Linked DNA regions of Notamacropus eugenii. The protein of the gene in region 1 interacts with the protein of each later gene in a biochemical or structural test. Links are inferred from orthologs where the notes say so. Each region holds a gene or a part of one and is shown in the gene's direction. Other genes may lie near its edges. The genes, in order: NHERF2, SGK1, PRKCA and TBC1D10A.

What was found.
Region 2: the proteins of NHERF2 (region 1) and SGK1 form a complex in vitro, tested with the Homo sapiens proteins (2 studies listed by BioGRID, with this or other methods). The link is inferred for Notamacropus eugenii from reciprocal best matches to the Homo sapiens genes NHERF2 and SGK1.
Region 3: the proteins of NHERF2 (region 1) and PRKCA form a complex in vitro, tested with the Homo sapiens proteins (2 studies listed by BioGRID and IntAct, with this or other methods). The link is inferred for Notamacropus eugenii from reciprocal best matches to the Homo sapiens genes NHERF2 and PRKCA.
Region 4: the proteins of NHERF2 (region 1) and TBC1D10A form a complex in vitro, tested with the Homo sapiens proteins (2 studies listed by IntAct, with this or other methods). The link is inferred for Notamacropus eugenii from reciprocal best matches to the Homo sapiens genes NHERF2 and TBC1D10A.

What each region holds. Positions count from the first base shown.
Region 1 is NC_092872.1:48,222,521-48,230,000, reverse strand, and holds the start of NHERF2 (Na(+)/H(+) exchange regulatory cofactor NHE-RF2), read left to right. Parts: upstream 1-4,462; 5' UTR 4,463-5,151; coding exon 5,152-5,361; intron 5,362-7,480.
Region 2 is NC_092873.1:220,168,055-220,175,059, reverse strand, and holds the start of SGK1 (serine/threonine-protein kinase Sgk1), read left to right. Parts: upstream 1-3,985; 5' UTR 3,986-4,000; coding exon 4,001-4,069; intron 4,070-7,005. UniProt on the Homo sapiens protein: Serine/threonine-protein kinase which is involved in the regulation of a wide variety of ion channels, membrane transporters, cellular enzymes, transcription factors, neuronal excitability, cell growth, proliferation, survival, migration and apoptosis.
Region 3 is NC_092873.1:329,832,973-329,840,382, reverse strand, and holds the start of PRKCA (protein kinase C alpha type), read left to right. Parts: upstream 1-4,407; 5' UTR 4,408-4,703; coding exon 4,704-4,876; intron 4,877-7,410. UniProt on the Homo sapiens protein: Calcium-activated, phospholipid- and diacylglycerol (DAG)-dependent serine/threonine-protein kinase that is involved in positive and negative regulation of cell proliferation, apoptosis, differentiation, migration and adhesion, tumorigenesis, cardiac hypertrophy, angiogenesis, platelet function and inflammation, by directly phosphorylating targets such as RAF1, BCL2, CSPG4, TNNT2/CTNT, or activating signaling cascade involving MAPK1/3 (ERK1/2) and RAP1GAP.
Region 4 is NC_092875.1:15,074,366-15,081,664, forward strand, and holds the start of TBC1D10A (TBC1 domain family member 10A), read left to right. Parts: upstream 1-4,291; coding exon 4,292-4,503; intron 4,504-5,417; exon of another isoform or gene 5,418-5,745; coding exon of another isoform or gene 5,746-5,828; intron 5,829-7,299.

The sequences.
Region 1 (7,480 bases):
GAGGCTAAGAGGCCTGGTGGCATGGCAGAAACAGCACTGGATTTGGTGATGGAGGACTGGGGATCCAAAATCTATCCTTGCCAGCTATTACCTGGGTGACCTTGGACAAATCCCTTCCCCTCTCTGAATCTTCTTCATTTCCTCATTTTTAAAATGAAGGGTTTCAATTAAGGTATCTTCCAAAGGTAAAATCCTACTCTAAGTTGGGAGGGAGGATAGGACAGGCCTTGATAGGGTTAGGCCCTTTCTCTAAGAAGAGCTTGGCATGTGGAGGAAGTGAAGTAGAGACTACCTGTGCCTTAGGGCTCTGGGAGGGTTGACAGGGAGGAAGAGGGTTGGGTTTAGAGAAGAAATGACTACTTGAGAGCCAGGGAGAGAGGGTGGGTCCTTAAGCTGGGCAGGCTGGGTTCAGTAAATATACTGTGAACAGGATAGAGAGAAGGAGTTTACTTTGCTTCATCCCCAGAGGGATGGTGTGAGTGACACAGCTCAGGAGAAATGATAGAGGGATGAAGGAGCAGAAGCAAAGATTTTTGACCTAGGAAAGAATCTGGAGCCTTAAAGGGAGTTATTGGGGGGAGAACGAGGGGAGGTCGAGATGCAGTGGAACTGAGGCCATAGTGCCTGGTATTTCTCCAAGAGGACTCCACCTTCATCACTGAACCTAGCTTAAACCTTGAAGATATGGGCTCCAGTCACCAGTGAGTGACCTGGGTGGAGCTAGTACCAGCTCAGTGAGGTATGGGGTAAAGAAGGCAGCAGTCAGAAGGTAATCCTCACTCCACCCTAATGGCCCTGCAGGAGTCATCACAGGAGTACAGGCCCTGAACTCAAGTATCTGGGGTCCCAGGTCCTGTTGTTCTGTTCCCCTTCCCCATTTTAGCTCGGCATGTACTAGAGGGGCCCAGGACCAGGTAGAGGAATACAAGCCAGGACTGAGAGACATAGCCCATAGAGAGACAGACCCTATAGACAATGTAGTATGAGGGAACCAAAGTAAAAAAGACCCAGGAGAACTGTGTTCAAACCTTGGCTGTGCTCTTTACTACCTATCTGAATTTGGGCAAATCCCTTCTGTTCTCTGGACCTCTAAAATGAAGTAGCATGGCAGGAGATGTTACCTAAGGTCCTTCTCAGCTTTAATGTTAAAATGTTGGAGCTGAATCAGGGTCCATCTGAAAACAAACTCATTGGACCAGGCCAGAGAGAAATTGATGACTTAACGTCCCACCAGCATTAGCCTAAGTGGCTTTTATGCCAAGGTAAGTGTGGGAGAGGAAGTACCATGTGGAAGTCCATTTAGCCAGGGAGAATAACCCGAAAAAGGGGTGGGAAATTGTTGCTGGGATGCCTAAAGATCCAAGACCAATAAGACAAACAATGATGCTGAGGTTGGCTGTGGGATAGCCCTTTCTGGTTAGTCTTTCCATTGGAGAGGAGCAGCTGTGATAAGTGGCTCTAATCCTCTGCCTTCATGGGGAATTGGCTGGGTCTGCTTTGTGGGACACCCTCGAGTCTGGTAAGTGTGTTTTTCTCTCTGCATATCTGGCTTTGTGTATCTTTGTGAACTAAAGGAGGAAGGGGACCCCCCGAAGAGAAGCCAGAGAATCCTGGGAAATCCTGGGAAAACCTGTGGAGAAGAGAGATAACTTGGGGGCTGTGGGATAGAGGCCTAAAGAGGAAAAGGAGGTGGACAGAGGCCTCTACAGAAAGGAGAGACAATGAGGAAGGGAACCTGAGAGTATGAAGAATGTAACACAGGTGGGAAAGACAGAACCCCTGGTGGTGGGAGTGGAAACCGGGGTTTTGCTCCAGGGTACCACTGATGGTAGAGGGTGCTAACAGCTAACAGCTCTTTTGGTTATTGGACAGTGTAGAAATAACAGAGGTCAGTACTTGGTTAGCAGGAATAAATTAGTCAAGGTTAAGAAGCTTTCAGATGGTGGGCCTGGGTGAGCTCCTCTGGAGTTCATTTGTTTTCTGTGCTTTCCCCAGGTGGAAAAAATTCCTGGGCAAATCTGAAAGGTTGGAGAAGAGCTTGGAGGTTAAAGAAATTCTCCTAACACAGCAGGTATTACTGTCACTATGAACACACAGTCAGGGGTTACTCTCACTCACCCACAAGCACTCATAAAAATCCATTTGGAGGGTTCATCTGAGGGGCCAACATTTCTTCCTTTAATAAAGATGAGAACATATACAGAAAGGCAAATTTTTACCCTTGGGGGGCATATTAACTCAAATGAAAGAGGCCACTTTTACTCAAGGGTCTATGATTTTCTTAAGGTACACTCTTCCTACCAATGACCCAGAACTCAAATCAAGTCTACACTGTGCTAAGTGCTGGAGAGAGCTGGAAAGGCAAAACTAGTCTCTGTCCTTGAGGGGCTCACAATCTAATGGAAGGAGACAATATGAAAAAAACATGTGCAAATAAGATGTGTAAAGGGTAAATTGCAGATAATCTCAAGAGAATTTCTCCATAACTTTGTGGCCATCTTTGAAAATTTTCATCAGCCTGAAGAAGAGATGAGAAAACGCACCTCTCCCTTTCTCCCTTCTTTGGTGACCTGGAGGACTATAGGTGGGGAAATAATTGCAGACTTGGTTGATGTCTTGGCTAGTTTTACCAAGGTTTCCCTTCCTCCCCCTTTGCTATTCCTTGTCACAAGGTATGGCTCAATGGGTAAGAGGATGGAGGGGTATATTCAGAAGATGATGTAAAACAAACAAAAGGTTGCAATACAACTTTTAAAACTGTGGCCAAAATACGCATCTCCCTAGAACCAATCTGGTGATGAGTACCTCTGAACTTAGTGACGCTGGGCTTTGGACAACCAAAGTTAGTTACCAAAAGTCTATACCCTTATTCTTTTAAGTGCTCTTTAGCTTTTTCTCCTAAGTCAGTTTTAGTGGGATCCCTGCAATCTTCAAAGCCTAATTATTAGGTTTAAATGAACAAGATTTGACCTGAAAAGCAGACTTAGCTAGTAAGGCTGGCCCATTCCAAAGGACTGAGGAGCAAAAAATAAACAAACTGAGAACTGTGGAGGAGTAGAAGGGAGTGATGGGATATTGGCTGAAGGGGGAGCATGGCTGATGAAAGTGTAGCAGGAGGAAGAGGGGGAGAAAAGAGGAGAGGGGAGACTGCTATCTTGTTGATCTTGAATCGTAGTGGCCATGGACAGAGCAATTTATTCCCGTTAGGGACCCTACCTTGCTCAAATCCAGAGCAGTGTTAGCCACGATCCAGAGAGGTTCTCCAATCCTTTCTGAGACCAAATAAATGCTAAAGCCCTCTAGGATGGGACTGTTCCGTTCATTATTATAAAGTGAGCAGAGGTGGAGAATTCTCCTGAAGATTGAGCAGATCCTTACGTCTGACAAGAAAACTACCCGCAAGAAATGTTTCCTTTTTGTGGAATTTGCTTCTTTCTCAGAAAAGAGAAGTCTTGCTTTGCTCTGCATAGAGAGAGTGTACCAGGCCCTCTGCCTTCCGCTCCCATACTGAGCTGGGAGATTACAAGGGGACTTGCCAAATGATCCTAGGAAGGGAATCCCTAGGAGATGAAAGGTCAGAAGAAGCAGGTGGGGTAGGGTTGGGAGAGGGGCACAGCCTGAATTATTCCCCAGCTGGGGAGGGTGGATGAAGTCTGAGATAAGAGACTAGCATTGCACGAAGAAAGAAACAGCCCTCAAAATGCCCCAGCAAGTGTATTTTAGAATGATTTAGGGACTGGGTGTGTGTGTGTGAATACAAGTGTGTCAGGGAGTGTGGGGGTACTGAAAAGGAATGGGGAAATGGGCTCGTGGAGACAGGGTGGGTGGGGTTAAGAGGATCTGGACTCTCAGGGACCTTCCTGAAAGATGGTGGGGATTTCTTTCAGGAATTGGTAAAGGAAAAGAAAAGACCTCTGGGAAGGAGAATTTTATACCAGGGAAACCTATCAGGGGATGTCAATGGAGTTAGGGTGAAAGGAGGCCGCAAGGCTGAAGCAGCAGAACTGGAAAAAGGACCTTAAGTTTTAAGTCACATACCAGGCAGCCTGTGATTAGGTACCTTCGGGGAGCAGTTGGCCCCTGTGCAGGACAGGGCTTTCTGATAGAGGACAGATTGGGTGTTATTAGAGGGGAGGGGTAGTGTTAGGAGTATTATCGAGGGATCAGCCTTTCCTCCTGCTTTGGAAACCTAGGAAGTAGGGTACCCCTTCCCCACCCCCTCCCGACACCGTGTAACTCAGGGACTGGCCTGCTCCGAGGCAGAAGGACGGGCCAAACGACCCCTCAAGTCCTTTCCACAGGGTACCGGAGTCTCCAGGCAGGTCCCCTTCCCCCATCCTGCGGCTCCGCCCCCGGACCTCCCACCCGGCGGGGGGCTACTGGGCGGGCGACCCGAGTCCCGGTGGGCCGGAGGAAAAGGAGGGGGTGGAGGAGGCGGGGCGGGGGCGGTGCCGAGCAGGAACCCCAGCCCGAGCCAACCCGAGCCCGATCCCGAACCCGAGCCGGAGCGGGAGCGTAGCTTACCCACCACCGCCGCTTGGTTCCAGCAGCCGCCTGTCTCCTTGCTCCAGCTCCAGCTCCAAGCCTGGACCCGTCCTTGAGGCGGCAGCAATCGCAGCCTCTGGTCCGGTCCGGTCCTGCTTGGTCCGGCCCAGCATGGCAGCAGAGGCCCCTACCCCTGGTCTCAGTGGTTTCCCGGCCCAGTGCAGCGTCCAGCCCCGCCTCTGAAGGACTCCCGACGGAGGTCCCTGGGAGCCAGGCGTCCCTGCCCCCCAGCCCGCTTCCCTTACACTAGTTGAACTGCGGCCCGGACTTCCCGGATTCTCAAGTTCTGCACTTCTCTGCCTCCTTCCGCCGTGCACCCCGATCTCCAGCAACTGAACCCCTCCGCACTGCACTCCGGAGTTCCATCCCCCGGATCCCTCAGCCTTGCCCCCGCCATCCCCCCAGACCTCCCTCCTCCCTCTCTTCCAGCTCTCATCCCCTACCCCCCTTCATTTTCCTCGTACCACATCCTCGGTCCCTCCGGGTCCCAGACCCCCCTAGTCTTGCGACCCCTTCCCGAACTCTCCAGCCCCAGGACCCAGGACTCGGGGTTCCTCACAGTCGCCCCCTCCCCTCCCCTGAGCTCGCGCCCCCAGCGGCGGCGCCATGGCCAAGGACCAACTGCGGCCCCGGCTGTGCCGGATGATCAAGGGGGAGCAGGGCTACGGGTTCCACCTGCACGGAGAGAAGGGCAAGAGTGGCCAATTCATTCGCAAGGTGGAGCCGGGCTCCCCCGCCGAGGCGGCGGCGCTGCGCGCTGGGGATCGGCTGGTGGAGGTGAATGGGGTCAACGTGGAGAAGGAGACGCATCTCCAGGTGGGCCCGAGATTGTGTGCCTGTGGGTGTGTGTGATGGACACAGAGGGTCCATCCTGTGTCTGTGTGATCGAACTACTCTTGTACGAGCCTGTGTTGTCATACCGTGATTGTGTCAAGGTTCAATAATGTGATATTGCGTGCCTGTGTGACACTGTGTTTATATGGTGATACGCTCTGTATCTATATGTGTATTACTAGGGGATATTGTATGTCCTTGTGGAGGTCTGGAAGGGAGCAAGGGGAAATTGTCAGGAGCTGGGAGGGTGATATAGTATGTGTAGCTAGCCAGCTCTGTGTGATTGTGTGGGTCACTATTTTGATGATGAATTCCCGGCTGTATCTATATTTGATGTAAAATACTGTATCCAGGTGATACTATATATAGCCATATATGACACGGTGTAGCTGTATATGACTGTGACACTGTGTGTAGCTAAGTGTAGCTGTGACTGCATTATATTGTATCCATGTGATATCATGTATAGTTAGCTATGTAAACAGTGTATCGTGTGATACCATGTGTGACCTTGTGTGATAATCCACCACATATAGACATACAGACACTGTGTGATGCTATATATGTATATACTACGGGACGCTGTAGATCTGCATGACCCTGTACTAGTATGTTACATTATATATGACACTGTGTGATACTGTAGATCTATGTGTGACAGTGTGATGTGACAATGTGTATAACTGTGACACTATCTGTATATGACTGTAAGACTTTTCTTGTCTATTCACACTCTGTATCTGTGTTTGGGTGTCAGAGACTGTGTTGAACACTGAGAAAGACATTGTTGTCCTCAAATCTAATCCAGCTCACAGCTCTCTCTAGCATCCGCCTGGGGAAAGTCTCCCTGTATGAGGAAGAGAAAAGTATCAGGAATCAGGAAATACCTGTCCCTAGGATGGGTGTCCTAGCCACTGTCAGTGGGTCCTGGAGATGGGGGTCCTTGTCCTGCAACTTGGCTCTGTTTGGAGAGGAGAGCTCTTGGGTTTGGACTGTAGGCTCTCCTGGCACCATGACTCATTAGTAAGGTAGGGGTAGTACAGTTCTCTGTAGATTGTGTTTCCCATGTGTATGTATGTTTGTATCTGTGTGTGTATTTTTGAAGAGGATATATGGGTGTATGAACACTAGACTTGGATTCAGGAGCTCTTGTTTTGTTATTTACTAACTGGGTGACCTTGGGTAAACAGTTTATCTCCCTGTTTATCTGTAAAATGGGGATGATAATGTTAGGACTTCTGGCCTCACGGGAATGTCATGAGGAAAGATTTGCAAGCTGTTTTATCTTAGTTTTTCCTGGTTGTGTGCACAGTGTGTGTATATGTGTGCTTATTTCAATATATGTGAGACAATGTATTATATAGTCTAATCTTTAGCTCCGAAGCTAAAGCTCCAGACACACACCCTGGGACTGCAGCTGGGGCCTTATACTTTTGCTTGCTCTGTCTTGGCAAACTGCAGCAATCTTAGGCAGGGCAGGGGTGGGGTTGGGCTCTGTGTGCATCTCTCCATCAGTCCTAAGGGAGAGAAGGTTGGGTAAGGGGCTTGCCTTATAGAATCAAAGAATGATGAAACAACTGGGGGGTATTTGACTTGGAGAAGAGAAGACTGGGGTAGGGATCAGGAGAGCCCCTTTCAAGTATCTGAAGGGCTGTCATATGGAAGAAAAATTAGACTAGATAGATCTGTTTGGCTCTAAAAGTACCAGGGCAATGGGTAGAAATTGTAGAAGCAGAATTTACAGAAGCAAAGTTAGCCTTGAATAAAGGAAAAACTGCCTAACAATGAGAGCTGTGGCAAAGTCAGTGGGCTAACTCTAGTGGAAGGCTTTAAATAGACTAGATGACTACTTGTCCATTGTGGTGTGGTGGCCTTGTATCTCTGGTATGGGATTGGATTGAGTGGCTGATGGGGTTCCTTCCAGCTCTGAAATTCTGTGATTGTAGGATTTAAGAACCGGAAAAGGACTTAGAGACCATGTAGTCCAGTAGTTTCCTACCTTTTTTTTGTATGGAGGACACTCTTGGCAGTCTGGTAAAAACCTCTTATTAACTGACCTCGTCTCAGAACAATGTTTTTAAATGCTGAAAATAAATAGGAT
Region 2 (7,005 bases), on another chromosome or scaffold:
GCAGACATCTGGAAATAAAGAGATGTTAAAAAAAAGAGATCAAAACATTTTCAAATATGTATGTATACATGTATACAGATATATTTAATCTTTTTTGTTTTACATCTCATCTACCTTACACTCAGGTTCAAATCCAAAGCCACATTTGAGAAGGAGAGGATTTAAAAAAAAAAAGGCATGAATCAACCACCAAAAGGAAGGAGAAAAACATTCCACTTCAAATTGAAAACACATCATTCAAGAGATCTCATCACACATTGAGGTTTTCCATTAGAATGAGGTGGAACACCAAGGTTACAGTTTCATAGAAATTACTCTGTCGTTTTAAAAGGGAATTGGAAGGACAGTTGACCTTCAGAGTAGAAAGTGAGACTCATTCATCCTCAATAGGACTCTCAGGCTGAAGGGGGAAATATTGTGGGAGTTTCATTTCAGCTGGGCTCCGGCTCCCAGTGGAATGTGATGTTTCAGTAATGGCAAGATTCTGCAGCTACTGATGGCAGCCTGAGGAGAGGGTGTATCTCTTTCAGCTGCCTGCCAGAGGCGATAGGCCCAGCTCCTTAGTGCCAGTCATCATTACGTGAATGCACCCAGGGACAGGCATCCAGGCTGCAGGTTTGTGAAAACACAAGTAGGAGTAAAAGCGATGATGTCACCTTCCTCCTAACTGATACAGTGCAGTCAATTGGACCATTTTTTCAATTAGTCCACCTCATTCACAAGCCAGGGTTTTTAAAACAGTAATATTACATATTCCAGGAAAATCATATGCCATGTAAGCCTGCTTCAAAAAGAGATCTGGGCTGAATGGTGTAGCAGAGAATGAAATGACTGAATAAGAATCCGGAGATATAAATTAATTCTAACCTTGTTTCTATCACTACCTAGCTGGATGACCTCAAACAAATAATCTAACCTCCCTGGGCCTTGGTTTTCCTGTCTGTAAAGGAAGACAGTTACACTGGATTAGAGGTTCTTAGCCTACGGACTTTTTAAAATAAATTTTGATAATTATATTTCAACAGAATTGGTTTCCTTTGTCATCAATGGCTTCCTTCAGGACAGCTAAAATCTCACCTTCTGCAAGGTCTTTCCCGATCCTCCTTAATGTTAATGCCTTCCCCCTGTGATTATCTTCCATTGCCTTTTATTTATCTCGTTTGTATATAGCTGTTTCACATAAGTCTTCTCCATTAGATTGTAAACTCCTTGAAAGCAGGAACTGTTTCTGTCTTTATATCCCCAGTTATTAGCAAAGTACCTGGCACATAGCAGATATTTAATAAATGTGTATTGACTTGACTTATTTTTATACGTTTAAAAACATTACTCTGGTAAGGAATCCAGAGGTTTCGCTATACAGTCAAGGAGATCCATGAAGGAAAAAGGAAATAAGCATTTATAAAACACCTATGTGCTAAGTTCTTTACAAATATTATCCCATGACATAAAAAAGATAAAAAAGCCCCATACTGGATAATGATCGCTTTCTCTTGTAAACCTGCTTCAGAAACCTGCTCTTTTCCATTTGTTAGTAAATGGGGAACCTCTTGATTTAAAAGTCATTTTGATGCAAAACATAGATTTCCCAAAGAACCTATTTTTTTTTCCAATTAACACAGTAATAAATGACTCTCCTATTTGATTAACTCCATCAAATCACTAGAGTGTCCATTAGTGCATGGATGGTTTGGGTTATGAAATGTGCTGCCTTCAGTTCAAGTCAACACACTCCACTGAGAGCAAGCAACAATTCTGCTTACATTACATTTGTCTTCCAGAAAATTCAGTCTACTGAATGACCACGGTCCAGTGAAAACAACATTCAGTCTGAACGACAGAACCTGGGTTCAAATGCTGCCTGTGTTATCTTACCACCTGTATAACTTTGAGCAAGTTACTCAATCATTTATTTTATATTTCTACGCTAGGATGAGATGGGTTATGGTATAATGGATCAAAAGTTGGTTTTGAAGCCAGGAAGAATTGGGTCCAAATTCTGCCTGCCACACATACTGGCTATGTAACCTGGGGGAAGTTAATTAACCTCCCAATGCTCTAGGCAGCTCTCTGAAACCCTAAATTGCAGACAAGGTGTCGATTTGCATTGCTGGGGGGGGGGGACCTCCAATACCAGTGAAAGGATAGATCCAGTCCCAATTCCCTATCTCACAATGCCCTCAAACAGGGCTGTGTATCACACAGCAGGCATTGCATTTTGGATAAATTAATGCAAGTTTGCACATTTTCTGCATTTTGATTATGAGGTAAGGAGGTGGTGCAAAGTAGTCAGGTGATTTGCTGAAAGTCAAACACTGTAGCAGAGCCTATACATGATGCTAAATCTCTGTGATCCTAATGACCTATCCTGTCAAACAATGATATATACAGTTCTTATTTGGAGACTACAGAATGTTTGAGGTTTTTTAATCCAAAAAAGATATTCTAAGGGATTGTCAAAATCCAGTAGCAAAAGTGGCCAGATTAAATTATATGACTATATATTTCTATTTCAGTCATTTGATATATACAGAATAGCATAGATAAGGAAGCTTTGTTTCTATTTTTACTTAACTGGATCCCTTTAACTTAAAAAAGATGTTCTTTCCCACAGTCCAAAGGAGTTTGATCATTTCTTTCTAAGACTCACGGCCTTCAAATAAATAGCACTATTTGTACAAGGTATTCTTGTTTCCTTTAGTGAAAAATAATACAACAACCCTGTCTTATGTTCTTATTGTGACAAGTCAAGGGAGAGAAAGATAAAAAGGATATTTTGTCACCTTCAGGAGAAAAATTGGCAATTGGGATACCTGCGATTAAACATATTTCTTAACCTGAGGAAATCTTCTGGATAGTTTTATTGCCTTTCTCTCTCCATTTGGACACTTCACGAAATAAATCAAATTATATTTTCATTCAAAAGGCTTTTATTGAAGAAAATATAGTCAATTGTTTTAGAGAATCATGAAACTCAAAGTCGCCTGCATTTCATAAGGAAGTGAGCACATTTCTTTTTAAGGCTGTGACTTAAATGGTCCAAACAACAACAAAAAAGAGGGGTGTGGAGGGGGACTATTTTTGTATTCATCCCAGAAAGCCTTTTGGTTAATTTATCCTTGCTCAGTTATTCCTTTGCACTGTCTCTCTATGTATCTCTCTGCTTCTGTCTCTCACTCTGTCTCTCTCTCCTCTTTCCTCTCCTCTCTTTCATTCTCCTCTTCTCATTCTCCCCTTTCTCTCTCTCTCTCTCTCTCTCTCTCTCTCTCTCTCTCTCTCTCTCTCTCTCTCTCTCTCTCTCTCTCTCTCTCTCTCCTCTCTCTCTCTCTCTCTCTCTCTCTCTCTCTCTCTCTCTCTCTCTCTCTCTCTCTCTCTCTCTCTCTCTCTCCCCCCCCCCTCTCTCCTTCTCTCTCCCCTCCCTCCGCCCCTCTCTCCTTCCTGCTCTCTCTTCTTGCTCCCTCTCAGCTGCTTAACTACAGTTCCCACTGGAACTCGGCACAATCAAAAACAGCTCTCCTCTCCAACCGCGGCAAGACATCACTTGGAGAACCACTAACTGAAAGCCCAGGTTCTAGAGCGGGAGGGATGCAGCCAGGTAAACAGGAGGGACCTAGTCTCTCCTGTGCTCCTATTTAGATTAAAAAATAATACTACAAAGAGCCCGGCATCCTTCGGCGCCGGTTCCCATTACCCGGAGACTTGCCGCATATGGTCTGTGGGCTGCCACCAGGGTCGTGTAGCAGTTGTGTTTGTGAAATCGAGGAATGACTAAAAGAAAAACGATCTAGCCTATGGCAGCCGAACGCTGGAGAAGGTCTCCGCAGTAGCTGGTGCAGCAGAATGAATGAGTGAAGGGAGGACTCGCTGCCTGGAATCTGATGGTGCTGCGTCCGCCCCGCTCTCCTCGTTAACTGTCTCCAGAAGGGATACTGAGGAAAGCCGATGCACTAAGCCAGTGCCCCGTACCGGACCTCCAACTGTGCACTCTCCGCTGTGGAAGATGGTCAACAAAGACATGAATGGATTCCCAGTCAAGAAATGCTCAGCCTTTCAGTTTTTTAAGAAGAGGGTAAGGACGGGTCTTGCTCGATTTTCTCCCTTTTGTTTCTTTCTTTTCTTGAAATGCGTCTTTATGCCGACCTGAAGTGGGAATATTGCTCGGGTGACAAGCCCTCCCCCATAAAGCGGTGTGTGGAAGACTGGTGAATGAACTGAGAAATAAGGGCAGAGAGTACCTGCCTAAGGTGCAGCTGGGGGTGGGCAGGGGGAGGTGAGGAGAGGGGGATGGGCAGGAATTGCTAGAGACAGGGTCGGCTATGGAAAGAAAGATTCTCTGTCAAAACCAGAGATTCTGTACCTTTGAAAAACATAATTGGATCAAGTCCAGTTATAACTGTAGCTTTAGTTAGGGGCTCTTGAAGTATCTCTCTCTTTCTCCTAAGTCTGTCTGTCTCTGTTTCTCTGTCTCTCCGTCTCTCTCTCTTCCCTTTCTCTCCCCTCTCCATGTTTGAAGTATTCAACTTTCTTCCTCCTCTCATTCACTTTGTCTAGAGTGCTACATTACCGTCCTCACTCAGCAGGAGAAGTACCTCTGGGGTCCCCAAATCATCCAACCTGTAACGGGCTGTGTCTCTAGCCACAGCACCAATTCATGGGAGAAGATGTAATTCAGAACTGAGTCAGTAAAGGGCAAGCATGACCTCAATCAGAAATATTGAAGGCCATCCTTCAAGAGCTCTCTTTGAATTCCCCTGTGTTCTGGTTGAGCTAATTTAGTACAATTACCTTTGGAGGTTTTTTTCCGGAGGAGGGGGGGAGCTTTTTTGTGAGAGAAAGCAGCAAGGGTCTGGATTTGACCGATACCTCAGTGTTTATTATACATTAATGCATTTTTTTAAATGTGCACACCAGAATATCCAGAGCATTTCACTGTGCTCCATTCGTTGGGAATGGGCAGAAAAAGGGAAATATCATTTTCCTTTCTGTTTGACGATAAAATTATGCCATTGTGCAGACAGCATAGGTGGTCTACATAAACCTACATATTAATGTCCAAGTAGGAGGTAAGCCGAATGGGTTTGTTAAGTGGCCCAATGACATCAGAAACTCCTTAATGAAGAGTGTTTCTTAGGGAATGACAGCCTGACCCCACCTCCTTCCCATCGTGTTTAATACCCTGGGGCAGCCCCATCAAAATTATTTTGTTCATTCATTCTTTCTGTCCTCCATTCATGTACTCTCGGTGAGATGCCAGGAACAGAAATGCAGTCACTCACTTCATTTAACCCGCCAGCACAACACAATGAAAGGCAAGTCAGTTGAATTATGAGCAGGGATGAGCAAACTCCCTGCACCAGAGAAGCAAGCTGGAAAAATACAAGCAGCTTGTCAGGAAAAGATGAGAGGGTTGGAGAGCTTTTTTTTTTTTTTTTTTTTTTTTTTTTTGCCAGACTTTGATTTATTTCTCATTACTGAAGTCACATCATTCCAAAAGGTCCTGGGGGCAAAAGCAAATGCATGGAAAAGAATATTATTTCTCTGTTAGAAGATGCTTGTGCAAGAGCAGAGGCAATAAATACCAGGTGATGCCTGTTACCAGGGCTCTGACTGATCCCTAGGAAGATCAAGTCACCACAACTAAATGGATCTTTACGGTGTCTCTTTGCCTACCTCTCTCCCCCAATATAAAAATAAAAATCTGTCCTTGAAAGATAATGGTGGTCACATATATCAGCAGTCAGTGAACCATCTGCTAATAAAACTATCCTGTTTCTCCCTGAAATAATTCTATTAATTCATCGTTTGTTTTTTTGGGGGGTGGGGTGGGTGGGAGGGATTGTTTTGTATTTTTGCTTTAATAGTTTTAAGAAAGCAGGTATCCTTATTCAATTGTACCATTACAGAATCGTTTTGGTTTTTTAAAAAGTTGCCTTTCATGTATCTTGCAAAGGAAATGTGCTCATTGCAATACTAATTAACCATCTGCTGCCCTTCTGCTAAAAACCACAAACTACCAAATTACCCATTTGGTGCTATATCAATCCTTGATACATATGTGTGTGTATACATATGTATATATGTGTGTGTATACATAAGTATGTATATATATGTATACATTTAAATAGACCAAGGGAATTTACCTACCTTTTATTTGGGGTGGATAAAAGATGAGAATGGAAGCAAAACAAGTTACACCAAGATGACTAGCCATGTGTTTGATCTGCCTACTGATCTGTACCTATCAGATTGCTGGAAGTAGAGACAGGGTTTCAAATACTCTCCCACTCTTTTTTTGTCCTTTGTCCACTAAAAGATGACGAGGATATCACCATGACTAGGTAGGTAGAGCTTTCAACTTAGGAGTTAGGTTCCTTGATTTTTCAATGACATCATACCCTAAGTCCTATATTTTCAAAGTTGATTCCAACTTATGATAATAGATAGCATTAAAATAGGAAAAAAAATCTTGGAGATCATCTAGTCCAAGGCTTCATAATCTTTTTACCATGGTTGCCTTTGGCAGTCTGGTGAAGTCTATGTATATTGCTTCTTAAAATAATGTTTTAAAATAGGATTACAAAGAAAACCAATTTTGCTGAAGTACAGTTATCAAAATACTTAAAAAAAGTAGTTCAAGTGTGTCCAGTTAGAAACGTCCAAATTCTAGTTTCTCATTTAACAAATAAAGAATGGAGACCCCAAGACCTTACATTTCTTGCCTAAGGTTATCCAGTTCCCAGAGTGGTGTCAGGACTGGAATTCAAGTCCTTTAAAACCAAATTTGCCACTCTGTCCTATTACTGCACTACTCTGCCTTGTTTCATGGTATTGGATTTTCCTAAAAGAATAATCCTTTTATTTTTGAATTCTATGGTTGAGATTCCAGGCATAACTGCATATCATGTTTTAACCTAGTTGGAAAATCTTGTAAAATGAATCTTTGTTTGGTGCCCACGGAGAATTCTGGATAAGTCCTGAATGAAAACCTAGAGGGTTTTTACTAGA
Region 3 (7,410 bases), on another chromosome or scaffold:
TTGTATCATTTCTTTTTGTTCATCCTTGGTTTTTGAAGAGGACCAATGACATCACAATGTTGGGGTAAAACAGTGGGTGATGGGTGATGTTTTGACTGGCCCGTGAATTAGCTTTAAGTGAGGCAGAGTGGTACAAAGTTGTCGGCCTCACTCTTCCATAGGCATCAAAGTCCAGTGGCAGGACAAAACTCAGAATGATTGATAATGGCCCCCGGGATGCAGGGGATGACTTTGGTGTCTTTGATGTCTGACTAAGCTCTAAGTGCTCTACAGTGTCTGCTTCAGCTGTCTTCATGGTCCTTGGAACAGACTGTTCTCATCCCTTACTCTTTGTTAGAACGAAAACATTTTATCTTTATAAAGTGTTTTTGATTGCTCATTTGCAGTTCCATACATATATGTATGTGATATATGTATGTATATGACATATACAGGACATGCACACGTACGCACACAGTTTATTGCTGGAGTAGTTTCAAGTTTTGGGCATTGAATCCCCATAGCAGGCCCCTCTGGGAAACTCCAAGCTGTTACATTCCATTCTACAGTGCATGACACATTAGAGCTACAATTCTATTTCTTTCCTTTGAACCCGCAGAGCAATTATCTCCTACTACTTATTTGGGATTTATCTACTGTTATCTGAGCTAGGACTAAGGGAAGACTGTGTAGGCCTCAGGAGTAAGTGTCCAGGGTGGAGGGGGTGTTTATAATATTACTTTTTATACAAATGCCACATGAATACTAGTTGAAGAAATAAAGGCAGTTTGTTTAGCCTAAAGAGAAAAGACTCAGAGTGGACTGATAACTTTAAAGGGCTATGATGAGGAGAATTGACTTATTCTACTTGGCCACAGAGGGCAGAACAAGGAGAAGTGACTGGAAATTAGAAGGAGGTAGATTTAAGCTCGGTATAAAGAACATTTCCTAATGGGGAGAAATGTACAAAAGTAGAACAAGATATTGGAAGACAGTTTCCTTTCATTGCAAGACTTCAAATAGAGGCTGAATGACCTCTGGTAAGGGACTTTATAAGAGAATTCTTTGAGCCAGATGGCCACTGGCTTTCCTTAACAACTCTGAGATTCCTTGATTAATTTACACAGTCATCATCCTCTTCATTGTCAATAATCTCAATGATGAAACTGGCAATGAATTCTTGCTTGTGGACATACTGGGGTAATGTGGTTTATTTTCCTCTAGTTACTTTGAATTAATTCAGGGAGAAAAAAGAGAGGCTATGTTCTCTTTCAGGCTGTTGTGAGTTTGTCAGTCTTTGAATTTGGGGAAATTAATAAAATTAAGAATGGACAAGAGATGTCTGTTTCCCTCATCTGTTTCTATATCCTCAAAAAAAAAACTATCAAATTTTCAACAGGTGAATATATACTTACCATATTTCCCTGTAGAGTCTTTGCATGCTAGTTAGTACCTACTATTGTTATTCATGCAGTTTTATTTGGTAATTTGCAAATGTGTTGGTTATGCCTTGTACCAGGATATTCTACAGTAATTAATATTAGAATACAAAATTATTTTCTAAATTAAGAGTCTGGAATCTTTTATTAAACAAAGGAAGTCTTTCAACATTGTGCCTAAGTTATCATACATATATTATAATAACTAACCACGATTACTCATCATGAGATATACACATAGATATTAATCATTGTAAAGAGTACTGGTCTACAAATCTTTTTGATCATGTACTCTGTCAAGAAATATTTAAAACATTCACCTTATATACATTTATATTTACTTATTTACAAGTTAGCTACATGCTACATATTAGGAATTATGCATATAATGCAAAATATAAATAAAAATCTTAAGACAAAAATGAAATAACTGATGTAAGAATCAATAGATAAGACAGTAGAGTTTATTTAGTGGCACAGTGACCTGGTCAGAGGTGTCTTTGCTTTTGTTGTGGGTTGTGTGTGACTCCATGACCTTATTTGAGGTCTTCTTGGCAAAGATAATGGAGTGGTTTGCCATTTCCTTCTCCAGCTCTTTTTACAGACGATAGGCAAATAAGATTAGGTGACTTGCCCAGGCTCACCCAGCTAGTAAGTTTCTGAGGCCAGATTTTAATTCACTAAAATGAGTCTTCCTGACTCCAGGCCAGGTACTCTATCCACTATGACACCTAGTTGCCCCTTCAGACATGTTTTAGGATATCAACTTGCTAGCTATGTGGTGAATTGATGGGAATAAGGGAAAAAATTGAGGTAGGAAGACCAATCAATAGGTTAATACAATAGTGCTACGAAAAATGATGAGGGTTTGAATGAAGGAAGTGGTTTTCAGAGCATAGAAATGGGGATGAACAGAAGAGATCGTGTGGGGGTAAAACTGATAGGATTTGTCAGTACAGGATACGTAGGGTGAAGGAGAGTCCGAAGTCAAGGATGACAGAGAGTTTAAATTAAACATGACTGACTGTAAGGATTTGGAGGTATCCTCTATAGAAATAGGAAAGTTCTGAGGAATGGGTTTTGGGGAAAGATAATGGAACAAGATCAGTGATGCAGATCGAAATCTATTCATTTCTATTCATTCTGTGCTACTCACTTTGTCCCATGGAAAATAAAAAGCAGGATGGAATGACAGCTCTTATTCACCAGCCCCTGGGCACCTTCTAGAACACAAAATTCGAAAAGGGTGCCTGAGGCAAGATGGGGGAAGAAAGGGCAGGTCCAGTGGGGTGGGGAAATTTTGCCTGTGGATATTAGTGCAGGTTTCATAGTCTCTGTTTGGTTATAACTACCCCCCCCCCCCCCAGGGTCTGAAGACCCCAGCAATTGACCACAGATATGGGAGGCCAGCCTGGGAGAGAACAGAGTGGAGGAGTGTTGGGCAATGAAAAAGTGTGTGGAATTACCTTGGAGACAATTAGCTAGCAATTAGCTGTCACAGGGCTGAGACCTATCTTCCCATCTTCCTATTAGTTACCCCTTAGAATTATGCCACAGCCTGCTTTGAAGTCATGCTATAGTCCACTGAGGATACAACCTCCACTTTGGGGACTAAATGAGTGAAAGAACCAGCCAGATATCTGTATACCCTCTTTTTTTTTTTTTTTTGTATATTAGCTAATGAGTTGTAGCTAAGAAGTTCAATATTCAGTTTTTAAAAATGAATACCTTCCCTCACATATATATATGTATAAATATATATATATTACCTTATGCAGGAGAAAATTTCATGACATGCACAAATATTAGAAATTGAAATATCTTGTGTCACATCATAGAGAAGTACAAACAAGAGTACTGAACCCAATCAACACCAACTCACCCTATTCCTATAACGATGAGGAAGGAGGAAGTGTAGAAATATTTACCAGCTGTGTGAATGACTGAAAGAGACACTCACACAGAAACAGAGGCAGAGTAAAAGGAATATTATATAGCAACTACCTGCCAGGCAATGTGCTAAGCGCTTTACAAATATTATCTAATTTGATCCTCACAATAACCCAGAGTCAGGGGTTTTGAAGGAGTGAGACAGACAGACAGAAGGCCGGTAGACACAGAGAGAGAAGGTTTGAAAACTGAGTTGTCTACCTATTAATCCTGGCAGTGTACACTGTCTCAAGCAAGATTGGTATTACGTGGTACTGTGAAAAGAGTGCTAGTTTGGGACTCTGGGAGTTCAAGTCTAACACACAGTTAAGTAGCTGTATGACTTTGGACAAGTCACTCAACCTTTCCAGACCTTAGTTTCCTCATCTGCAACAGCAGGGGATTGGAATATGATCTTCAAGATCGTCCCTAGCCCCAAGATTATGCGCCGAAAACTCCGGAGACGACAAAGGAAGAAGGAAAAGGAAAAGCAGACTGAAATGGAGAGACAGAAAAAGAGGAGCAAACGAAAAAGGCGGACAGATCCGCCCCCCGAGATGCATCCTCCTTCTCCTCCTCCTTCTCTTCCTCCTCCCCCTTTTTCCTCCTCGTCCTCCCCTTGCAAATTCTGTCTGCCCCCACGCCCCCAACCCCACCCCCCTTTCCGGGCTGCGGTGAAAACATGGAGACTCTGAATCCGCCCCATGACTAACTCCTGCACCGGAGGAGCCGGGACACACACACATACACACACACACGCACACACACATACACACACACACACACACACACACACACTCGCACACACTCTCGCACTCTCTGGGCATGCTCAGTCGGCGGGGCCGGTTCAGGCTGCTGCCACCACCACCAGCAGCAGGAGTAGCAGCAGCCTCAGCAGCAGCAGCCCCAGCAGCAGCAGCAGCAGCAGCCGCCTCAGCAGCAGCAGCCCCAGGAGCCCCGCTGCTCCCGCGGCCGCGGCTGCTGAGTCGGAAGCCTGTGCAGAGCCAGCCGGGCTGTCAGTGAGAGTGGAGATCGCGAGGGCGCGAGCGCGGCGGCGGCTTGGGCTCCGCACCTGGGGCTCCCCGCGGCCGGAACGCCAGGAGCAGCGGCGGCGGCCCCGGGAGCGGCGGCCGCCGAGGCAGCAGCAGCTGCCCCGGCCGCGTCGGATCGGGCACCGTCCGCTCCTCTCCAGCCAGGACTTCTTGGTCCCCCACCTGGCCCCAGGGCTCCTGCCCTGCCTTCTTCCCGGGGACTGGAGGGAAGGTGTCCGGCACCTCTTGCTCCCCTCCTGCCTCCCCACTCCCTCGTCGGGCTCCGGCTTTCCCAGGGGAGGCAGGTGGTGGCTTGGGGGGGACCATGGCCGACGTTTTCCCGGCCAACGACTCCACCACGTCTCAGGACGTGGCCAACCGCTTCGCCCGCAAAGGGGCGCTAAGGCAGAAGAACGTGCACGAAGTCAAGGACCACAAATTCATCGCCCGCTTCTTCAAGCAGCCCACCTTCTGCAGCCATTGCACTGACTTCATCTGGTAGGCGCACGCCCCAGTTGGACTGGGGTCGGAGAGAGTGGAGGGCGGGGGAGAGGGGAAGTGTGGGGTAAAGGCGGGGCGCGGTGGGGGAGGGTGGTGGTAGAGAGAGGCACCGGGACAGGCACAGTCACCGACGTACTCAACCCGAAGTGCCCGTGGGCAGTTGCACTTTCACACCTGGGCACACTCATCGCCCTGGCACTCAGCTGACACGCCCATGCACACTCACTCACTCACACTCACTCACACCTCAGGGAAAGCTGAACAACAGTAATGTATACACACACACACACACACACACACACACGCAGGCTGATCCGCCCACAGAGCTTAGTGGCGGAGAAACACCAATGGACACACACTAAAAGATACAAACACACCCACACCTACTATCATTCACTTTACTGACATCCCCTCCACGCGGTGACAAACCCACTGGCGAGGTCTACCCTGACAGTTTCTTTTTGGCATTCCCTGGCAGGCTATGAAATAGAGGCTGGCACTGCCAAGCATTGACATTTACACACACGCGCACACACACACACACACAGACGCTGATAAATTCAGGCTGCCCTCGTCCACATGCGCACACTCGCACAGGTTGTAGAGCAATGATGTGTGGCTTTGTGGGCCAAGGAAAAAAATTAAAAAGCCAAAGAGAGAAGAGTTTCCGTAGTCTTGTCAGGAGAACCGCACACAGGAGAAACTGAGGAGCTGCTGCAACTGTGCTGTCACTCATTCCAAACCTCTTCTTTGCTAGAGGGCGTGTGTTGACTCTATGCGTGTTCCTTTCCTTCCAGCTTCCACTCCACTGAACCTTGTGCCCCCGCCTACTGTAGCTTATAACTGCTGGGCACAGAAAGATTTCGACTTTTCTGAGTAAGCAAGCAGAGAGTGAATGAGAGAGAGAGAGAGAGAGAGAGAGAGAGAGAGAGAGAGAGAGAGAGAGAGAGAGAGAGAGAGAGACAGAGAGAGAGACAGAGAGAGAGAGACAGAGAGAGAGAGACAGAGAGAGAGAGAGAGAGACAGAGAGAGAGACAGAGAGACAGAGAGAGAGACAGAACGACAGAGAGACAGAGAGACAGACGGAGCGACAGAGAGAGACAGAGAGAGAGAGAGAGAAAGAAAGAGATAGAGGAGCAAACTGTTGCAAGCATGTGGGGGCAGAGGTGCATTAAAACAGAGTAGGCAGAGGACAAGAGGAATTTAAAATAGACCCTGTCAACCCCAGATTAGTTTTACAGGTCTGTAGATGAGAAGATTCTTTATTTAAGAAAAATGCTATAAGGAATAAAAGCACCTGATAATTATTTAAAACTAAAGATACATACAATTGGGCATAAAATTACTAGGTGGAGGAAAGTAGTTCTTCCTCCCCCTCCCCCCAAATTGTTACTTTATACATTTTTTTCTGTCTCTTGTTCATAAATGTAGGCAGTCTGCAATACTTTGCTAAATGAAGTAAATCCTTAATTCTATACTCTAAAAGACCTACATTGAAACTACATCCTAACTCCAGCCAGCTGTTTCTTATAGGCATCTTGTTGTCCCAAAGGGGTTAAAAATACAGTAGCTCAGTGTAAATGTCAGTGTTGGGCATTTGACTCAAATTGGTGGATTAGTGCTGTCATCCTTCTAAAAAGAATAGCACTCTAAGAAAAAGAAATTATATCAGAAATTATAATTTGAATGAAGTTGTTATACTCAATGATAGTTACAGATGTAAATATATGAAATATATGTGAAATATATGAAATAAGTTAGAGCATCAGAGCAAAGGAAAGTAGCAAATATTGTAAGAGTATGCTTTCTATCTCCATTATTTAATGGAGGTATTTTTTGCTTACTTCAGGCTCTTAATGCTTCATTTTTTATTGTTACATCCCTTAAAAACAGAACTCTATTTTCTGGTTAGTTCTGAATTCCACTGTGCATCATTTAGTTTATATGTTCCTAGTATCAGAGACTAAAGGAACAAAACTCTTCTGAGTTGACAGGCAAAGTGAAATGGACAATAAAATATCCAGACAATTCAAACAATTCACCTGCCCCTATTGTTACTTCAATTATTTAGATGTTTGTGGTAAAAGTTTTTTTCTTTTCTCTTTCTTCTTTCCTTGCTTTCTTCCTTCTTTTCTTTTTTCTTTTGACCTCATAGCTAGACAATTGCTTCAGTTACTAATTTCACTTATACTAGTGTGCTCTAGTAACATTTTCTAATTATCAGTTGATTTATAGTTTCTACATTTCCCAAAGTTTTTATTTGCGTCTTGAAGCAGTGAAGCTAAATGTTTCTATTTAGTGTATCATATTAGAAAGCACTCTAAACTAATCTGCATTTTTGAATTAGTTTTAATTCAGCTATTTTGGGGGGGGAGAACTGCTTTGCAACTTAATATTTATTTTAAGTTGTTTTTATCTTGACACCGTTTTTACTCTGGATACAGATAGTATCAAATGATTCCTAAAAACCCATGTCTGTACATAAGGTTAACTCAGTAAATATTAAATGATTATTCATCTCAAGTGCAAAC
Region 4 (7,299 bases), on another chromosome or scaffold:
TTTTCAGGCCTCAAAGAAACCTTCGAAAATGTTGGAGTCAAGAACACGGAAACAGCTGAAGAGCTGGGGTAAACAAAGAGCTTTGGGCTCTCTGGTCCCTTGAGTGAGCTCCTGAGACCTGAGATTTTCAGGAATAGACCTTAGATACCACCTCACCGAACCCCCTCATTTTCCCAATGAGGCCCAGAAAGGGAGAGCTGCCCATGGGTCACTCAAGCCAGAAGGCAACGTCTCTTGACTTGAAAACCAGGGATCTTCCCATCATCCCCCAGTCCTAGCTCCCCTGGTCACTGGCTACTGTAGCTTGCCAGGTTCCACCAAATAGCAGAGCCCACTAGAAAGCCAGGGTTCAAAGTTAGGCTTTGGGTCTCCCTTTCCTCACTGATATAAGGCAGGTAAGGATTCAGACAAGTCCTTTCCTCTTCCTGGGTCTCCTGGTCTTTACCTTTAAATGAGTGTGTGTTAGTCCTTCGTGCAGAAGAAGGCCATGCCATCAGAGAAATAATGACATGACTTATACTTGACTTTGTTTTGAGTGAGGGAGGGTTGTGCAGGTCACCAGCCTCACTTCTCCTCCAGAGCCATCTGAATCCAGTGACCAGATGTATTCATGAGGATAACTGGAGATGACCCAGGATGAGGCAGTTGGGGTTAAGTGACTTGCCCAAGGTCACACAGCTAGTGAGTGTCAAGTGTCTGAGGTGAGATTTGAACTCAGGTCCTCCTGACTCCTGCACTGGTGCTGTATCCACTGCAGCATTTCAAAAGTACCTTCTAACTCAAGAAAGGAAGGCTACCCTCAGACTACAGTCCCAGGATTTCCCATTCAGCAGGCACTTATTAATCATGATTTCATATGCATAATATATTTCTTGCCTTTTCAAAGGGTGGGAAGAGAATTTCCAATTGCAAATAAAAATAAAATTTTAAAACACGTATTAAGCGCCTACTATATACCAAACACCAGAGTTACATTAAAAGTGTGGATTGTTTTCCATTTGCCTCAGGAGCCCAGGCTAAGCCCTCCACTCCCCCCACTTTTTTTTTTTTTTTTAGTAATGAACCTTAATGTCATCTAGTACAAACCCTCCCTTTTACAGATGAAGAAACTAAGGCAGGTTGGTTTAGTGAAAAAGCATTGACTTGGACTTGGTGCAAAGGCTGGGTTCAAACCCAGCTTCTTGAGGCAAGTGGCTTTACCACTGAGCCTCAGTTTCCTGTAAATTGGATGAGATATCTGTATTAGCTGTTTTCAGAGGTTGTGTATGGGAGACAGGTGAAGCAAGTGATCAGGTCAGAGGTGTGAAGCTGTCAGTCAGCAAGTATTTATTAACTGCCAACTGTGTGCCAGGCCCTGTAAGTGCTGGAGATATGAAGAAAGGCAGAAGCAGGGTCCCTGGCCTGAAGTACACTGGGAAGACCATGAGAAAACTTTGCATGTACAAGTTAAGAACAAAGTGAGGATAAGGCGATGTCTGAGATCTGGGTGGTGGGGTGGGAGTGGGACAGGATAAGAAGGGCCTGCAGAAGGTGGAATTTGAGCTGAGTCTTAAAGGAAACCAAGAATTTCTAAGAGATCTAGGTGAGGAGGGAAAGCACCAGAAGCACTGGAAACGGGGCAAAGGCACAGAGGTGGGAGAGGTAGCATGGGTGGGGAACTGCCGGGGGCCAGTGGACTGGACAGTGGAGACTTGAAGGCAATGAGGTGTGAGAAGGGTGAAAAGGTAGGAAGGGGTAAGGTGATAAAGGGCCTTCAGTAATGAATAGGAGCTTTTGATTCTCCTGAGAATAGGGAGCCACTGAAATTTATAGGGTAGGGGAGTACTACCATTAGACACTTGCTTTAGGAAAATATTCGAAAGAGATGTATCAGAGTAGAGAGACGGTGAGGCCAAGATCAATTAACAGACTCTTTAATAGTCTAGAAGGGACTAATGAGGTCCAAAACTAGGCTGGTTACTGGGTGACTGGGGAGAAGGAAACATATGTTGTCTCCCTAAAAGAGGTATGGTGAACAAAGGCTAAGATTTGGTCAGAGATTGGCTTTGTAGGGTAAAAGCTGAGGGTTCAAGAGAGGGGACCTTGACCTTCCTGGAGGGAAGCTGGGAGAGAGTAACTTCTGTTGTGGACCCAGAAGAGAGTGGTCAGGGTTAGATCTGGTGGTGTCCATGGAGATGACCACTGAACTTAGGGGAGCCAGCACGTAGTTACAGCATGATAAAGAAATGCTCCTTGACCTGACTTGCCTAATGAGGTCTCCAGGCAATGTAGAGGGGAAAGGAAAAAAGGCTGGGGTATATGGCCAGAGAGTGGGTGTGACTGGGATGGAGATCCAGCCAGAGACACTGAGGAGGAGGAGTGATGGGAAGGAGAGAGAGAAAGAGAGAGGGAGAGGGAGAGGGAGAGGGAGAGGGAGAGGGAGAGGGAGAGGGAAAAGGGAGAGGGAGAGGGAGAAGGAGAGAGAGAGAGGGAGAGAGAGAGGGAGAGGGAGAGGGAGAGGGAGAGGAAGAGGGAGAGGGAGAAGGAGAGAGAGAGAGGGAGAGAGAGAGGGAGAGGGAGAGGGAGAGGGAGAAGGAGAGAGGGAGAGGGAGAGGGAGAGGGAGAGGGAGAAGGAGAGAGGGAGAGGGAGAGGGAGAGGGAGAGGGAAAAGGGAGAGGGAGAGGGAGAGGGAGAGGGAGAGGGAGAAGGAGAGAGAGAGAGGGAGAGGGAGAGGGAGAGGGAGAAGGAGAGAGAGAGAGGGAGAGAGAGAGGGAGAGGGAGAGGGAGAGGGAGAGGGAGAGGGAGAAGGAGAGAGAGAGAGGGAGAGGGAGAGGGAGAGGGAGAGGGAGAAGGAGAGAGAGAGAGGGAGAGAGAGAGGGAGAGAGAGAGGGAGAGGGAGAGGGAGAGGGAGAGGGAGAAGGAGAGAGAGAGAGGGAGAGGGAGAGCGAGAGGGAGAGGGAGAGGGAGAGGGAGAAGGAGAGAGAGAGAGGGAGAGGGAGAGGGAGAGGGAGAGGGAGAGGGAGAGGGAGAGGGAGAGGGAGGGAGAGGGAGAGAGGAGGGAGAGAGAGGAAAACAGAGGGAGGAGGGAGTATCTAGATGGAGACGCCTTTCCCCACAATAGTCTTGGTAGATTGTTGTGTTCGTCCTTCCTGTCCTTCCTTTTTGGAGAAGACCGAGACATCAGAGAAATGGTGACATGACTTGGACTGGACTTTGAGTGAGGGAGGGCTGTGCAGGTCACCCGTCCCACTTTCTCCTCCTGAGCCATGTGGGTGCAGTAACCAGATAGATTCATCAGGATGACTGCAGAGGTCTACCCCTGGGAGGCAGGCAGTGCAAGTTGGCTCCCCTTTGTGCAGATGGGGAAACTGAGGCCCAGAGAGCTGAGGTACCTGGAGGTACACCGGCTCCAGCAGAATTCCCTCCGGCCTCCCAGTTCCCCCAGCCTTAGGCCCCTAGGATGTCAGGTGAGAACTGGAGGAGAGCTCAGAAGACATCTGGGATGCCCACAGAGGAAAGAGCGGGGCTGACAGAGCAGGAGGGAGCCCCCAGTCCAGCGCCTTCCCTCCCTGACCCCCCACAGGCGCTAGGCAGGGGGGGGGGCAGGCACATGGACAGTCCCTGCCTTCAAGGAGCCTCAATTCCAAGGGGGAGACGCTCCTTACATGTAACCTCAAAGGAAGGGCGAGGGGATTGGGGGAAGGGAGGAGACCCCCGCATCAAGGGGAAAGAGGGAAAGGCCTAATGTGGGAGAGCGTTGTGGACACTGCGTACAGCCTGGGCAAAGGTCTGGAGGTGGGTTACGAGGGAGGGGAGGAGCGTCATTCAGGGAGAACGCGGCCGGGCAGCCGGGCTGGGGCCCCGCGGACACGCAGGGTAAGGCAGGGACCCGGCGATCTCGCTTGGCGCTCCTAGCGCGGCGAGGGGCGGGTCTGGCAGAGCCCGGAAGTCGGGCCGAGGAGGCGGGAAGCCTCGGCTCGGTCCAGGTGAGTCCCGGTGACTGACAGCCCGGGGGCGGGCCCTGCAGCCCGGCTCCGGGAGGCTCCGACTCGGCGCCCGCCCCGCCGCTCCGGGCTGGGGGGGGAAGGGGAGGGGCGGGCATTGGGGGCGGGGCTTTCCCGGCATCCCGGGCTGCGATTGGCTCAGAGAGGGGTCGCCCGCGGGGGCGCGGCTCTGGGCCCGCCCGGAGGTGCGGCGGGCCAATGGACGAGCCCGGGGGCGGGGGCCTCGACGACGGCTGCGGCGGCGGCGGCGGCGGCGGCCGAGGAGACCGCGGAGGCGGCGGGCGGGGCCGGGCCGGGCCGGGCGGGCGATGGCGAAGAGCCGCGGGGAGAACGGGCCGCGCTCGCCGGGGCCGGGCGGGAGCCTCTCGGGGACCCGGGAGAGCCTGGTCCCGGGCCCGGACGCGGCCTCGGCCGCCGACGAGCTCAGCTCCCTGGGCTCCGACTCCGAGGCCAATGGCTTCGCGGAGCGCCGCACCGACAAGTTCGGCTTCCTGGTGGGCGCGCAGGGCGACCCGGGCGCGTGAGTACCGCGGGCCCCCCGCCGTGACCCAGCACCCCCCTCCCCGCCGTGACCCCCCGCCGTGACCCCCCGCCGTGACCCAGCACCCCCCTCCCCGCCGTGACCCCCTCCCTGAGACTGCTGGAACAGCCCCCCCCTCTGTGACCCAGCACCCCCCTCCCCGCCGTGACCCCCTCCCCGAGACTGCTGGAACACCCCCCTTCCTCGACGTGACCCCCCCGCCGTGACCCCCTCCCCGAGACTGCTGGAACAGCCCCCCCCGCTGTGACCCAACAGCCCCCTCCCCGCCGTGACCCCCCCCCTCTGTGACCCAGCACCCCCCTCCCCTCCGTGACCCCCCTCCTCGAGACTGCTGGAACACCCCCCTTCCTCGACGTGACCCCCCCCCCCGCTGTGACCCAATAGCCCCCTCCCCGCCGTGACCCCCCGCCGTGACCCAGCACCCCCCTCCACGCCGTGACCCCCCGCCGTGACCCCCTCCCTGAGACTGCTGGAACAGCCCCCCCCAGCTGTGACCCAACAGCCCCTTCCCTGCCGTGACCCCCCCCTGTGACCCAGCACCCCCCTCCCCGCCGTGACCCCCCTCCCTCGACGTGACCCCCCCGCCGTGACCCCCTCCCCGAGACTGCTGGAACACTGCCCCCCCGCCGTGACCCCCCAATACTTCTGAGAACCTCCCCTTCGCCATAAACTCTCCTCGCCCGCGGTGATCAGCCCAAGATTGCAGGCACCCCTTTCCCCCATGACGGTGCCAGGGATCCCCCTCCTCGCTTTGGCCCCACCCCTTCCGCAGGCAGGGGGGGAGGGGGCCTGTGACTCCACACACGTGACAGTCCTCCCTCCCCCAGGGCACCCCTGCCCCTCCCCGGATCGCCCCTGGGCGCCCCCCTGGGGCCAGGACGTCCGCACACCTGACCCTCCTCCCGAGGTCCCAGACACCACGCCCCCTGCCCCTCCCGAGACCAGCCTCCCCGGGAATTCCCCCCCACCCCCAAGACCCGAATGAGTAAGGCTCCACACCCAGCCTCCCAGGGCAGCTGACCCCTTAGCTCAGACTCACCTCCAGGAATGTGGCCTCCCCCCTCTCCTGATGGAGGCCCCTCCTGTGCTCTCAGGGGCTCCAGGACTCCCAACGGTATGTGAGGACACAGCCAGCCATGGCCCCTCCCTGGAGGTCTCTGGGAATCCCCCCTCTGAGAGGCAGAGACGCTCACCCAGGCTCAGTCTCCTCCCTCTCTGAGGATGCTCTCCCAAGCGGGGAGCCCCCCTCACCCTTCAGGTCCCTCCGGTTCTCCAGGACCACCCTGCCTTACAGAGAGCTGGAGGTAAGAGACCTCTCTGGAGCTTCCTCAAGGACCCTCCTCAGATTCCCCACACCCCTGCCTCCCCCAAAGCCACACACTGAGGATGGGTGGGCTCTGATCCCGCTCTCCCTTCCACTACCAGGATACAGATGTGGGAGGGTTTCATACCCAGCTGGTATGGGCACCCCCCTCCCCAGTGCCAGATCTAATTCTACGCTGCCCCCCACCAAGGGAGGGAAGAGAGCTAACTTCCCAACCCTCAGCTCTAGGAACAGGTAAACACTGCCAGGAAAGGCGGATGCCTTCCCTGCCCCCCCCCCCTCCCCATTGCCTCTGCACACACATGTGCATGGATGAGAACCATGACAAACCCCACCCCCACAAGTATTCTGTGGTCAGCCTGACCTTCCATCCCCTAGCCAACACAGGTCACCAGGGATCACATACACACACCCTTCAGAGGGTGCCCAGAACCTCATTCCCCCCACGCGCACTTGCAGGAGACATACATATACCCACCTATCACCTGACCTCTTGCCCAGGCCACAGCCCCTCAAAGGCAAAGCTGACCTCCCATGCATAGAGACATCCTCCCAACTCTCCCTTCACATACCAGCTGTGAAGAGACAGATGTGTGTGCCCTCCTGGACCAGCCCATCCAATGTTATCTGTGCCACATGTGGTGGGCACACCCTGGCTATGCCTCTCCTTCCCACTTCTTCATCTGCCCCAGACCTCCCAGGAAGCCCTAGGCGGGCAGGCAGGCCCTCCCTCTGCAGCAGCAGGCACAACTTCTCCCAGGCAGAAGCATACTTTGCCCTGCATCAGGAATGTGTCCCTTTGTGCCTGCCTCTGGCCTCCATTTCTGAGCTCCTTCCCCAGCTCCTGACCCCTCTTTCCTACTCAAGATTTCTTAGGCCATCTGAGGCAGGCTGGCAATGGAGGTTACATTAGGCACCCTGCCTTTTACCTCCCCAAGTCTCTCCTCTCTTAGAGAAGATGCCCACCTACCCCAGGAGGCATCCTCTTTCCTTTGTAAGGGAGATCTGGGAAGTTCCCCTACCCACTCCAGCTTCCCCTGCTGGTACTGTGCCAGGGTAACCCCTCACTGTTGGATTGATAGCCCAGCCAAGCTTTCTCCTCATTTCCTCCGCGTGCCATGCTTTACTTCTGTTCATACAGCGATACCAGACACCCCTGGGGCTTGTACCTGATGGAGGCCTGAGGCTAGTGCCCACTGAGGGCTGGAGGAAGGTAGACAGGGGGGTGCTTTTTGGGTGTTGGGTCACAACCCAGGTTCTTCTGTTTTTTCCAGGGGGTGAGAGCTGCAGACAAACCTCGTGTGTGCACGCGCGTACACACGTGTGCATGTGCGTGGATACGCATGCATGTGCAGCCATATATGTGAAACAGGTAGAGCTGAGGAGCTTTGATCCTTTGAGAGGTTAGAAAAGGGAATGATTATTTCTGGCATTTGTAGCCAGATACTTCC